3 linked regions of the Macaca mulatta genome follow. The protein of the gene in region 1 purifies or fractionates together with the protein of each later gene. This does not show direct contact. Links are inferred from orthologs where the notes say so. Each region holds a gene or a part of one and is shown in the gene's direction. Other genes may lie near its edges. The genes, in order: WASF1, NHSL3 and RAC1.

Region 1 (3,651 bases):
TTCTTGTAAAGAAAAAAACTGAAATAGAGGCAGATAGCTTTCCACACAATTTGCTAAAAGTTAATTATTTTCTTGTTTATTAGATTATGTATGTAATGCTTTTCATCCTGTGAGTTGAATTAGTATTCTGTTATAAAATAATAAAATAACTGATGGTCATCATAGTAGATCTCTAAATCAACAAGTAAGGGTTACATTGTGAGCAGCATTCTTTGTTTTAAAAGCAGGATTAATGTAATACTTTTCTGAAAGTTTCTTAAAAATAGTTAAAATGTTGGCATTGAAAGGATAAACTTTAAATATTTAATATCTCATGTAGAACACTTTTCCTCCCAATAATTCAAGAAAAATTCACTGATACTGTATATTTCTTTTAGACCTCAGACATACGTGGATCATATGGATGGATCGTACTCACTTTCTGCCTTGCCATTTAGTCAGATGAGTGAGCTTCTGACTAGAGCTGAGGAAAGGGTATTAGTCAGACCACATGAACCACCTCCGCCTCCACCAATGCATGGAGCAGGAGATGCGAAACCGATACCCACCTGTATCAGGTATGTTGGAACAAGCATATGATGTTTTATCTTAGGAGTCAGTAACTTTTTCTTTCAAGGACGAGATAGTAAGTATTTTTGGCTTTCAGGGCTTACAGTTTTTGTCACAAGTACTCAATTCTGCCATTGTTGCATGAAAGCCACCATAGACTATACATAAACAAATGTGTCTGCATTTAAATAAACTCTGTTTATAAAAACAGGCAGCAGGTCTGATTTGGTCTATGGGGCATTATTTGTAATCTTCTGGTTAGAGCTGACACACTCTCCTAGGAAAATTTAGCTAATAAGAATTTAAAGACTAAAGCCTGTTTCATTTTATTATAGTGTTGTTATTAAGCATATCATGTGCAGTGTATTAAGAAAAATTAAGGATTTTTTGGAATGTGGGTAACAGTCTAAGAAATGGGAACCAAAGATGTGATTATTAATACTAATTTGGTATTAAGGAAAATACTTAAAGAATTTCAGAGAGGATTGGCAGTTGCTCATAATAATCTTTCTGTAAAGCTATTTTGAAGTTTAATCTTGTCAGTTATTATCCAAATGATAAATTTCTAATAGAGAAATATTAGGGAAATTTTCTAATAGAGATATAGAGATCAGCTTTACAATTTTCAGTTAAAAATCCAATTTTCTATCACTGACTCATTTGATGTTCCATCCTCAGGAAAAGAGAGAGCTGTGAATTTCTTTCTGTGGTTTGTAATTAGCTGTCATTGATGTAACTGAAATAGCATATGATGAGACTTAATAGTTTCAGTATAAATACAACATTATATTGGCCACAAGTATTGCTACAAAATTGCATTATGATCAATGTTGAGTCATTACAGAGACTCCTGTCAGTATAGAATTGAGCATTTTATTTATCAAAGTGAGCATAAAATGTCTGAGTGGATGCAAAAGTTGCATGAAAGAATGAGACTATTTAGACTATTACAAACCAAAGCACCACTCATTAACTTTTTTTGTTGATGTGCTTTTAGTTCTTTTTTTCCCTAAATACTGTTGAAGATGTTAAATTTCTATAGGAGCATGTTAATGGATCTATTTTGATATAATTACAGATAGTCATTTATAGTTTGTGTGGTTAGATTTTCTCTTTAGGCTTTTCTCTTTTAATAACTTGCTAGAATCTCTTTGTCATTTCAGTTCTGCTACAGGTTTGATAGAAAATCGCCCTCAGTCACCGGCTACAGGCAGAACACCTGTGTTTGTGAGCCCCACTCCCCCACCTCCTCCACCACCTCTTCCATCTGCCTTGTCAACTTCCTCATTAAGAGCTTCAATGACTTCAACTCCTCCCCCTCCAGTGCCTCCCCCACCTCCACCTCCAACCACTGCTTTGCAAGCTCCAGCAGTACCACCACCTCCAGCTCCTCTTCAGATTGCCCCTGGAGTTCTTCACCCAGCTCCTCCTCCAATTGCACCTCCTCTAGTACAGCCCTCTCCACCAGTAGCTAGAGCTGCCCCAGTATGTGAAACTGTACCAGTTCATCCACTCCCACAAGGTGAAGTTCAGGGGCTGCCTCCACCCCCACCACCGCCTCCTCTGCCTCCACCTGGCATTCGACCATCATCACCTGTCACAGTTACAGCTCTTGCTCATCCTCCCTCTGGGCTACATCCAACTCCATCTACTGCCCCAGGTCCCCATGTTCCATTAATGCCTCCATCTCCTCCATCACAAGTTATACCTGCTTCTGAGCCAAAGCGCCATCCATCAACCCTACCTGTAATCAGTGATGCCAGGAGTGTGCTACTGGAAGCAATACGAAAAGGTAATTTTCTCAGCTCCATGAAAAGCATTGCTATAGTAGCATTGGAAACTTTCTAAATATTTAAGACAAAAATGTGTTCCTTATTTATAAAATTTTAGGTGATCATGTTGTGTACAAATGGCCTTTAGAAAGTAAAGCTATATCCAACTTATATTTAAAATCATTTTCCAGAAAATAGATCACATTTGATCATTTTATTTTCATGCTTTGTAGGTATCCTTAAAATGTTTATTGAGTGAATGAGAAATTTAATATATCAGACTTGTGTTATAGAATATTTAATTAAAACCCTTTATATTATGCTTAATGTGTATATTAACTCCTTTAAGAATAGTATTTTCTTCAATGTTAAGGCTGTTCATTTCGGGTATCCATGACACTTACTCTACCAGATGCCCTTAAAGGAGTGAGGTTCTTCCCTTAGTAACAAAGGAAAGACTTCTCATATTCATTCATGTATTGTCATTATTTCCTAAGCAATGACTGTAGGCCAGGCACTGAGCATATAGAATGAATAATAGTGCCTTTCCCTCAAGTACAATGGATAATGAAGCCACAGAAAATATATTCAACAATGTTTAATTTATTTGACCATTGGGATGATAGAAGAAATGTACCACCTCATTAATTTTTTAGGGGGTGGTAAGCAAGGAGGTATAGTAGACCATGATGGATAAATAAACTTTAGATACCTACTGGGATACCTGGTAAGTTTTACCAACTAATAACACAGATAACATAAAGATTTAATGCCTCTCTCAGTATGATTTCTTCACATTCTTTTCTGATCTTTTTATTTTTCCTATTAGTATTTCTCATGTGCATTTGATTTTATTCCAGAAATGTTAATAATATCAAGTATTTAGTATTTAGTATTTTGATTTAAATGAATGGTTTGGATTCACTATATCAGGTATTCAACTACGCAAAGTAGAAGAGCAGCGTGAACAGGAAGCTAAACATGAACGCATTGAAAATGATGTTGCCACCATCCTGTCTCGCCGTATTGCTGTTGAATATAGTGATTCGGAAGATGATTCAGAATTTGATGAAGTAGATTGGTTGGAGTAAGAAAAATGCATTGATAAATATTACAAAACTGAATGCAAATGTCCTTTGTGGTGCTTGTTCCTTGAAAATGTTGGTCATTCTAGTGTTTTGCTTTCTTTTCCTTATAATAAATGACCCTTTTCCTCCATAACTTTTGATTTCTAAGGAAAATATTAGCATACATTTCAAACTAAATGTTTTACAGTGGCTTATCTTTTTCTTCCCCCTGAAAAGACTAATTTGGTCAAATAAACCACTAA
Region 2 (3,651 bases), on another chromosome or scaffold:
GGTGTCTCTGACCTTGAAGCCTGCAGCCCTCCCGGGAGATTTGCCTCCCTGCCGGGGTACCCACACTTTACTGGGTACAGCCTCCCAGTCAAGATGTACTAGCCTTTCTAGTGTGCCGGGGAGGACGGGACGTGGACAGCCCAGAAGAGAGGAGAGTAGTACCACTGCAAGTTGGGGAGCCTGCTCAGTGAAATCTTGTTTAGAGGCCTGGGAATGGAGAAGTTTTGGAGGGAGGGGCCTGTTCCTCCTTCCTTCTCCTAGGAATTGGGCTTTCAGTCCTGGATTAAGACATAGAGATCAGAGTTTATTGGACTTTTGAGGGTTGGGGGCCCCCAGTCTGAGTGTGATCCATGAGTCCCCTCTGGAAACCTGGAGTTGAGTCCAGGGTCTGTCTGACTCCTATTGCTGGGTGACCTTAGGCAAGGCCTTGCCCCTTTGAACCACTTCCCCGCTGGCAAAATCTGGGGATCTAGGACACTGCTCTGGTCAGATCTGTTGGGGGCCTCCTAGCTCTGACCTGTGGGATTCCTGCAGACTCCCTGGGGCAGGAGCTGTGGCTGTTGACGAATGGGCTGAGGGAGGAGGAAAGGCAGGTTTCTGAACTGAGGACCCTGCTCCTGGGGCATGGCCCTTTAAAGGGCTTGTTTTGTTCCTGTCGCTTTATAAGGTGCTACCAAGGTCACATGACCCTTCCAGTGTTTTTGCTTATGTTGTGGGTTTCATTTAAAGGGGGGCTGGGGCTGCAAAGTGCTGACACAGCCCCCCATCCCCAGGATTAGATGGCCAGCCCCTCCACAGGCGGGGCTTGTAACAGGATCCTTTGTAATGGATCTCTGGCTCCTCTGCAGCAGGGGCCAGGGCCAGGGCCAGGGCCTCCAGGAGAGGGGGATACCTGGGACTATTTCCCCAAGAGAGACTGGAGCTCCCTTGGGCGGGTGGAGGGGCCTGGGTCTTTCTTCTCCCCTCCCCTGCCCATCTTTCCACTAAGGGGCAGACACATGGGTGAGTAGGGGACCCAGGAAGTTATCTCCCTGGTCTGCATCCCCCCTAGGATTTTCTGGGAATCTGGTTGTAACTCATGCCAGCTCTCCTTCCTGATTTCCCATGGTGTCTTCTTCCTGGACCTGGGTCAAGCGGTGGCATGAAAAGGGTGGTTTGTTTTCCTGTGAAGTGGGGTTTTGGGTATGGAGGCGAGAGCAATGTATTTGCTATGGGCTATGTGTATACTCGGGATGTCTTTTGTGGGGCCCTGAGTGATGTGTGAGTACACAGTCGTGTATATACTTGGTTACTGTTTGTGTATATACAGAGCAGGGACTGTGGGTGTTGTGTTTACGTGTGGGCTGGGTGTGCTCAGTGTGCGTACCTACGTGTGTTTATACTCAGATGCCCTTTGTTTATATACATGAACGATGTCTGTGGGTGCTGTGTACATACACAGTAGACCTGTGTACCTGTGTGCCCTGTGTGTGGTGCCTTATATGGGGCCCTTTGTGTGGTATGATGGGTACTTAGATTTATGTACACTTGGGTGTAGTTTGTGTATATGGGGGCTGTGTGTGTTGAGTGTTTACTGCAGAACTGTGGGTTATGTGTCCAGACTGGGGGAAGGGGGCATTGCTTGTATATGCAAGGGCTGTGTGCAGTCTTGGGACCGTGGGTGCCCTTGCCATGGTACCTGTGCACCTGCAGGGCCCAGATGCCTTTGCCTCATTTCCCTTCCTCCTCCCTCCCACTAGGCTCTGCCAAGGCTGAGAATGACAAACGTCTAAGTGTAGGGCCCGGCCAGGGGCCAGGGTCTGCAGTGGATGAGCACCAGGACAACGTCTTCTTCCCCAGTGGGCGACCCCCGCACCTGGAAGAGCTGCACACTCAGGCCCAGGAGGGGCTCCGCTCCCTACAACACCAAGGTAACCTTCCTCTCCACTCCACTCCCCTCTCCTCCCTCCAGTGCTGCATTGTCAGCTCTCAAGGTCAGGGGCCTAACTCAACAAACCCTTCTGGTGTCTTCCAGAGAAACAGAAACTGAACAAGGGCGGCTGGGACCATGGAGACACCCAGAGTATCCAGGTGAGCCCTGTCTCCAACTCAGTCCTGACTCTTCTCTACCTGCTTGACCCCTGGCAAGGATATCTTGGAACATTTCTGGGTCTCAGTTTCTTTCCTCTATCACAAAAGGCTACACTAAATGACCCCTGAGGGCCAGTCCAGGGTTTCTCAGTGCTAGGTGATGCTGGAGGGGATATGTGACTCAAAAGTTCGAGTGGGAGGCTAGACATGGTGACTCACACCTGTAACCCCAGCACTTTGGGACACCAAGGTGGGTGGATCACTTGAGGTCTGGAGTTGGAGACCAGCCTGGCCAAAATGGTGAAACCCTGTCTCTACCAAAAATACAAAAATTAGCCAGGTATGGTGGGAGGTACCTATAATCCCAGCTGCTTGAGAGGCTGAGGCAGGATAATCGCTTGAACTCAGGAGGCGGAGGTTGCGGTGAGCCAAGATTTCGCTACTGCACTCCAGCCTGGGCGACAGATTCGTCTCAAAAATAAAAAAAGTTCCACTGGGGAGCCTTGAGGAGGCAGCGCCAGCCAGATCAGGGCCTGATCTCCTTCTACCCTGATAGTCCTCACGGACGGCGCCGGATGAAGACAACATCTCCTCCTGCAGCCAGACCACCTCCTACGTGGCTGAGAGCTCCACAGCAGAGGACGCGCTCTCCATCCGCTCGGAGATGATCCAGCGCAAAGGTGGATTCACGGGCAGGGGAGAGGGACGGGGGGCGCCACTGGGTCCCAGCATCTGTAGCTTCTTTTCCTCCTTATCCAGTGTTTCGCCAGGCTCTCTGATTCAATGAATTCGGGAAACACGGTACCCTGTGTCCTCTTGCACATTCATGATACACACTAACTATAAAGCAGTTTAAGAGTTAGAAAATCTTAACTGTTGGAGGCCTGGTGTAACTACGTGCCAGCTGTGTGACCTTGGGAAAACCCTTAACCTCTCTGAACTTCTGTTTGATATTCTCTAAAAATGAGGATAAGTATCTTATTGGAATGAATGCCAAATGTTTAGCATGCTGACTAACACATGATAATATGTTTACTAAATAATAAGCTATCACTAAAGGGAAATTACCATCGTTGACTTAGTAGCCTTCCAGACGTCTTACAGAAAAGAAGCCTCTAGCTTTGTTTAACCTAGCCTTGCCCATACCTACTTGACTGCGGAAATCATTTCTCGCAGAGCTCTTACTACAAAAGTAGTGCCCTGCAGAATGTGCCCTGAGTCCTTTGCTGTAACAGTTTTTCTCCCCCGACCGGCCCCCAGGCTCCACCTTCCGACCCCATGACTCATTTCCCAAATCTGGAAAGTCAGGGCGGCGTCGGCGGGAGCGGCGGAGCACTGTGCTAGGACTCCCGCAGCATGTGCAGAAGGAGCTCGGTGAGGCCTGGTTTAGGAGGGCAGTGGTGGTGGGTGGGGAGCCTTGGTCATCCCTCTCTGCTGACCCCACCTCCTCCCTGTCCCTTCCAGGCCTGCGGAATGAGCGTGAGGCACCAGGCACGCCCCGGGCTCCTGGTGCACTGGATGCTGTACGCATCCCCACAGTGGACGGCCGCCCCCGAGGCACCTCAGGGATGGGGGCCCGGG
Region 3 (3,651 bases), on another chromosome or scaffold:
GCTAACATGGTGAAACCCGTCTCTACTAAAAATACAAAAAATTAGCCGGGCGAGGTGGCGGGCGCCTGTAGTCCCAGCTACCAGGGAGGCTGAGGCAGGATAATGGTGTGAACCTGGGAGGCGGAGCTTGCAGTGAGCCGAGATTGTGCCACTGCACTCCAGCCTGGGTGACACAGTGAGACTCCGTCTCAAAAAGTCTCAAAAAAAAGAAAAGCATGAGTGAGATGAAATTAAAAGTTTTCTCATTTGCCCCCCGCCTTTTTTTTTTTTGAGACAGTCTCACTCTGTCACCCAGACTGGAGTGCAGTGGCGCAACCTCTGCCTCCCGAGTAGCTGGGATTACAGGTGTCCACCACCACCCCCGCCAATTTTGTATTTTTAGTAGACACGGGGTTTCACCATCTTGACAAGGCTGGTCTTGAACTCCTGACCTCGTGATCCACCTGCCTTGGCTTCCCAAAGTGTTGGGATTACAGGCGTGAGCCCTTTTTTTTTTTTTTGAGACGGAGTCTTGCTCTGTCGCCCAGGCTGGAGTGCAGTGGCCGGATCTCAGCTCACTGCAAGCTCCGCCTCCCAGGTTCACGCCATTCTCCTGCCTCAGCCTCCCTAGTAGCTGGGACTACAGGCGCCCGCCACCTCGCCCGGCTAGTGTTTTGTATTTTTTTTTAGTAGAGACGGGGTTTCACCAGGTTAGCCAGGATGGTCTTGATCTCCTGACCTTGTGATCCGCCCATCTCGGCCTCCCAAAGTGCTGGGATTACAGGCTTGAGCCACCGCGCCCGGCCCCTTTTCTTAAAATAGTTTCAGGGTTCTATGTTGGAAGAGCGAGTTTGTCAGTTTTTATTGGAATAAAGAAATGAATTGACAGCATTGTGATAAACACTGGAAGTGTTCACTTCTCAAATTTGTCCATGTCTGGACGTGGTGGCTCACGCCTATAATCCCAGCACTTTGGGAAGCCAAGGTGGGTAGGAGTTCGAGACTAGCCTGGCCAACATGGTGAAACATGGTCTCTACTGAAAATACAAAAAATTAGCTGGGCATGGTGGTGGGCGCCTGTAGTTCCAACTACTTGGGAGACCGAGGCAGGAAAATCGCTTGAATCCAGGAGGCAGAGATTACAGTGAGCTGAGATCGTGCCACTGCACTCCAGCCTGGGCAACAGAGCAAGACTCCATCTCAAAAAAAAAAAAAAAAAAAAAAGCTTGTGCTTAAGGGGTGGCTTCCCCCAGACCTGCAAAGCGGCCCAGAATTGGGGGCCTTGGTGTCAGCAACAGTGTTGATTTTGATAATGCAAGTCTGTACATTCAAACCAGGCTCCCAGAACTAGGTGGAAGATAGGAACATTTCTGCATAGGAGACTTGGAATGTTCTGGTAGCATTAAAACTGTCAGCCCTGAGGCCTGGCTATGTTCTGGGAGAGCCCTTTGTCTGGTAGGCATCATTTACCGATGGGTACCTTTCTTGTGTGCTGTGGCTTCAGCTAGGCTGTGTCTGAGAACTCAGATGGAGCACTGGAAAGTGCCGGTGGCTCCCGCCTGCCTTCGCGGTAAGGGATGGTGCAGAACATCTCCGGCTGTGCGGGCTGTTGTAGATTCTGGTGGGTGCTGCCGTGGGAGGAGGAGCACGTTGTTGCCCCCATCAGGATCTGCCTGACCTCTGTGCACCATTGTTGAACTTCTTACGCCCGCTTTTGACCAGGTAGTGTGGAGTGTTTCAGTGGCATTTGTCATCGAAGATGTTAGATTATTATATGCTTTTGGATTCCTCTGGAGGGTTAAGACAAAATTCTAATAAAGAATCGATAAGAGGTTATGTTGATTTTTATTTTCCTCAGTCTGTACTAAACTCAAACCAAGTTCTCATGCATTACTAGGTTGGAGAAACGTACGGTAAGGATATAACCTCCCGGGGCAAAGACAAGCCGATTGCCGTATGTAAAACTTTCAGTCCACTTCAGTTTCAAGCTTTCTCTGTTCTCTCATTTCACTTCGTTTTCTTAGGAATTTTTTTTATTAAGCCTCAAGCTCCTTGAGTGTTTTATATTTAATTCACTCAAGGTTGGGGTTTTGCTTGATGAAATAAACTTGATTAGAGTGTGATAGTTTACCCACCGGCTTGAATTAAAGCAGTTTGTGAACTGCCATCTTCCCCTCCGGAGTGAAAGGAGGGGGGAGAGTGAGAGGGCCCCTCTCCTGGCTGGTTGGAGATGCAGATACGGAGACTCCTCTTGGAATCCCACCTGGCTGTGAGCCGAGCCGGAGCAGGACTAACCTTGTTGCCGGGGCCTTCTTTCTCCGCTTCGGTGTCCCGTGTGGTGGGGCTGTCTGGGCGCGGCTGTGCGGTGCTGCTGAGCTAACCCCACCGTGCTGGAGATGGTGTGCTGGGTGCCGCGGTGACTCTTGGACGAGCTTGTGCATGCGCCAGCGTTCTTCAAACGCCAGTGATAAAAAGCTGTTGTGTGGGATGTTTCTTTCCCTTTCAGGTACAAGGCATCAGCTGGAGGGTTGAAAGTGTAGCTTGGGAATTGTGTGCATTTCATAAAGTAGCATAATTGCCTTTTTCTAGGAGAATATTTTAGAAATGTAGCATTTTAGAAGTTCTTGGGCATTTTTAAATACAGGTAAATATTTGAATTTGGTTTGACACAAAATACAGAATGGAGGAAGCATGCAGATGTCTGGCGTGTTCCCCGAAGCACCCTCCACTGTGTCCTCCGCACCGACCCTTCGCGCCTCTGCTTCAGCCACAGCTGCCCCGGGAGCGAGTTCTCCTGAGGCCCTGGCTGTGCTGACTCGAGGGCAGCGTGAGGGTGGTCGTCAGCTGTGAAGGTGCCACTTACACACTAAGTCCTCCTTCCTTGCGGAGGGAAGGGCTCAAGTAGCAAATATTGGAGCCCCCACTTGGTGCTGGGAGCTGTGACAGGCAGCTCCTGAAGAAGCAGTTTAATTGGAACCAGTGACCATCTAAAAATGTTTGTACTCTAAACCAGATTTTACAGAAATATTGGAATCATACCTTCATACTTGATTTTTTGTTTAGATAGATAGGCGGAAAGGAAGCCTCCTGGGGGGTCTGGTCTGATCCTCCTGATCCTTGAAGAGCTTCTGGCATCATTCTGCCTTCACGCTCCCCATTTTCATAAGTAACTGGTGGCTTGACATGCTGGGTTTGGTTTGGGAGCCCTCTGACAAACTGAAAGGGTGGATCAGGAAGCATCTGACCAAGCCACTGGTACCTAGTAGACACGCTCTGCGTCCGACAAGTCCTTCCCAGCAACATCCAGAAAGCAAAGTGCAGGCTTTGTTCGAAGGTCGTTGTCTAAATGTTTCCCTGTGTTTCCTTTTTGTAGGATGTGTTCTTAATTTGCTTTTCCCTTGTGAGTCCTGCATCATTTGAAAATGTCCGTGCAAAGGTAGGTGGGGATTTAAAGTATATGAGTTATAGAATGACACTCTCAGAAATAAATACTTTATAAAGTATAATAATAAATAAATTTTAAAAAAAAGAAATAAATACTTTAAAATATCACTTAGCCTAGGAATTTTCAGTTATTTAAATTGGTTATAGGAATTTGCTACTTAAGTACATGATTGGGTTTTTTATTCTTTTGAGACAGGGGTCTCACCCTGTTGTCCAGGCTGGAGTGTG

What was found.
Region 2: the proteins of WASF1 (region 1) and NHSL3 purify together in Homo sapiens (affinity purification with mass spectrometry; 3 studies listed by BioGRID and IntAct, with this or other methods). This does not show direct contact. The link is inferred for Macaca mulatta from reciprocal best matches to the Homo sapiens genes WASF1 and NHSL3.
Region 3: the proteins of WASF1 (region 1) and RAC1 purify together in Homo sapiens (affinity purification with western blotting; 3 studies listed by BioGRID and IntAct, with this or other methods). This does not show direct contact. The link is inferred for Macaca mulatta from reciprocal best matches to the Homo sapiens genes WASF1 and RAC1.

The regions. Positions count from the first base shown.
Region 1 is NC_133409.1:15,156,040-15,159,690, reverse strand, and holds part of WASF1 (actin-binding protein WASF1), read left to right. Parts: intron 1-377; coding exon 378-557; intron 558-1,712; coding exon 1,713-2,341; intron 2,342-3,254; coding exon 3,255-3,412; 3' UTR 3,413-3,651.
Region 2 is NC_133406.1:208,089,382-208,093,032, reverse strand, and holds part of NHSL3 (NHS-like protein 3), read left to right. Parts: intron 1-1,739; coding exon 1,740-1,910; intron 1,911-2,014; coding exon 2,015-2,070; intron 2,071-2,626; coding exon 2,627-2,750; intron 2,751-3,330; coding exon 3,331-3,444; intron 3,445-3,534; coding exon 3,535-3,651. UniProt on the Homo sapiens protein: Able to directly activate the TNF-NFkappaB signaling pathway.
Region 3 is NC_133408.1:44,612,322-44,615,972, reverse strand, and holds part of RAC1 (ras-related C3 botulinum toxin substrate 1), read left to right. Parts: intron 1-1,876; coding exon 1,877-1,933; intron 1,934-3,352; coding exon 3,353-3,415; intron 3,416-3,651. UniProt on the Homo sapiens protein: Plasma membrane-associated small GTPase which cycles between active GTP-bound and inactive GDP-bound states.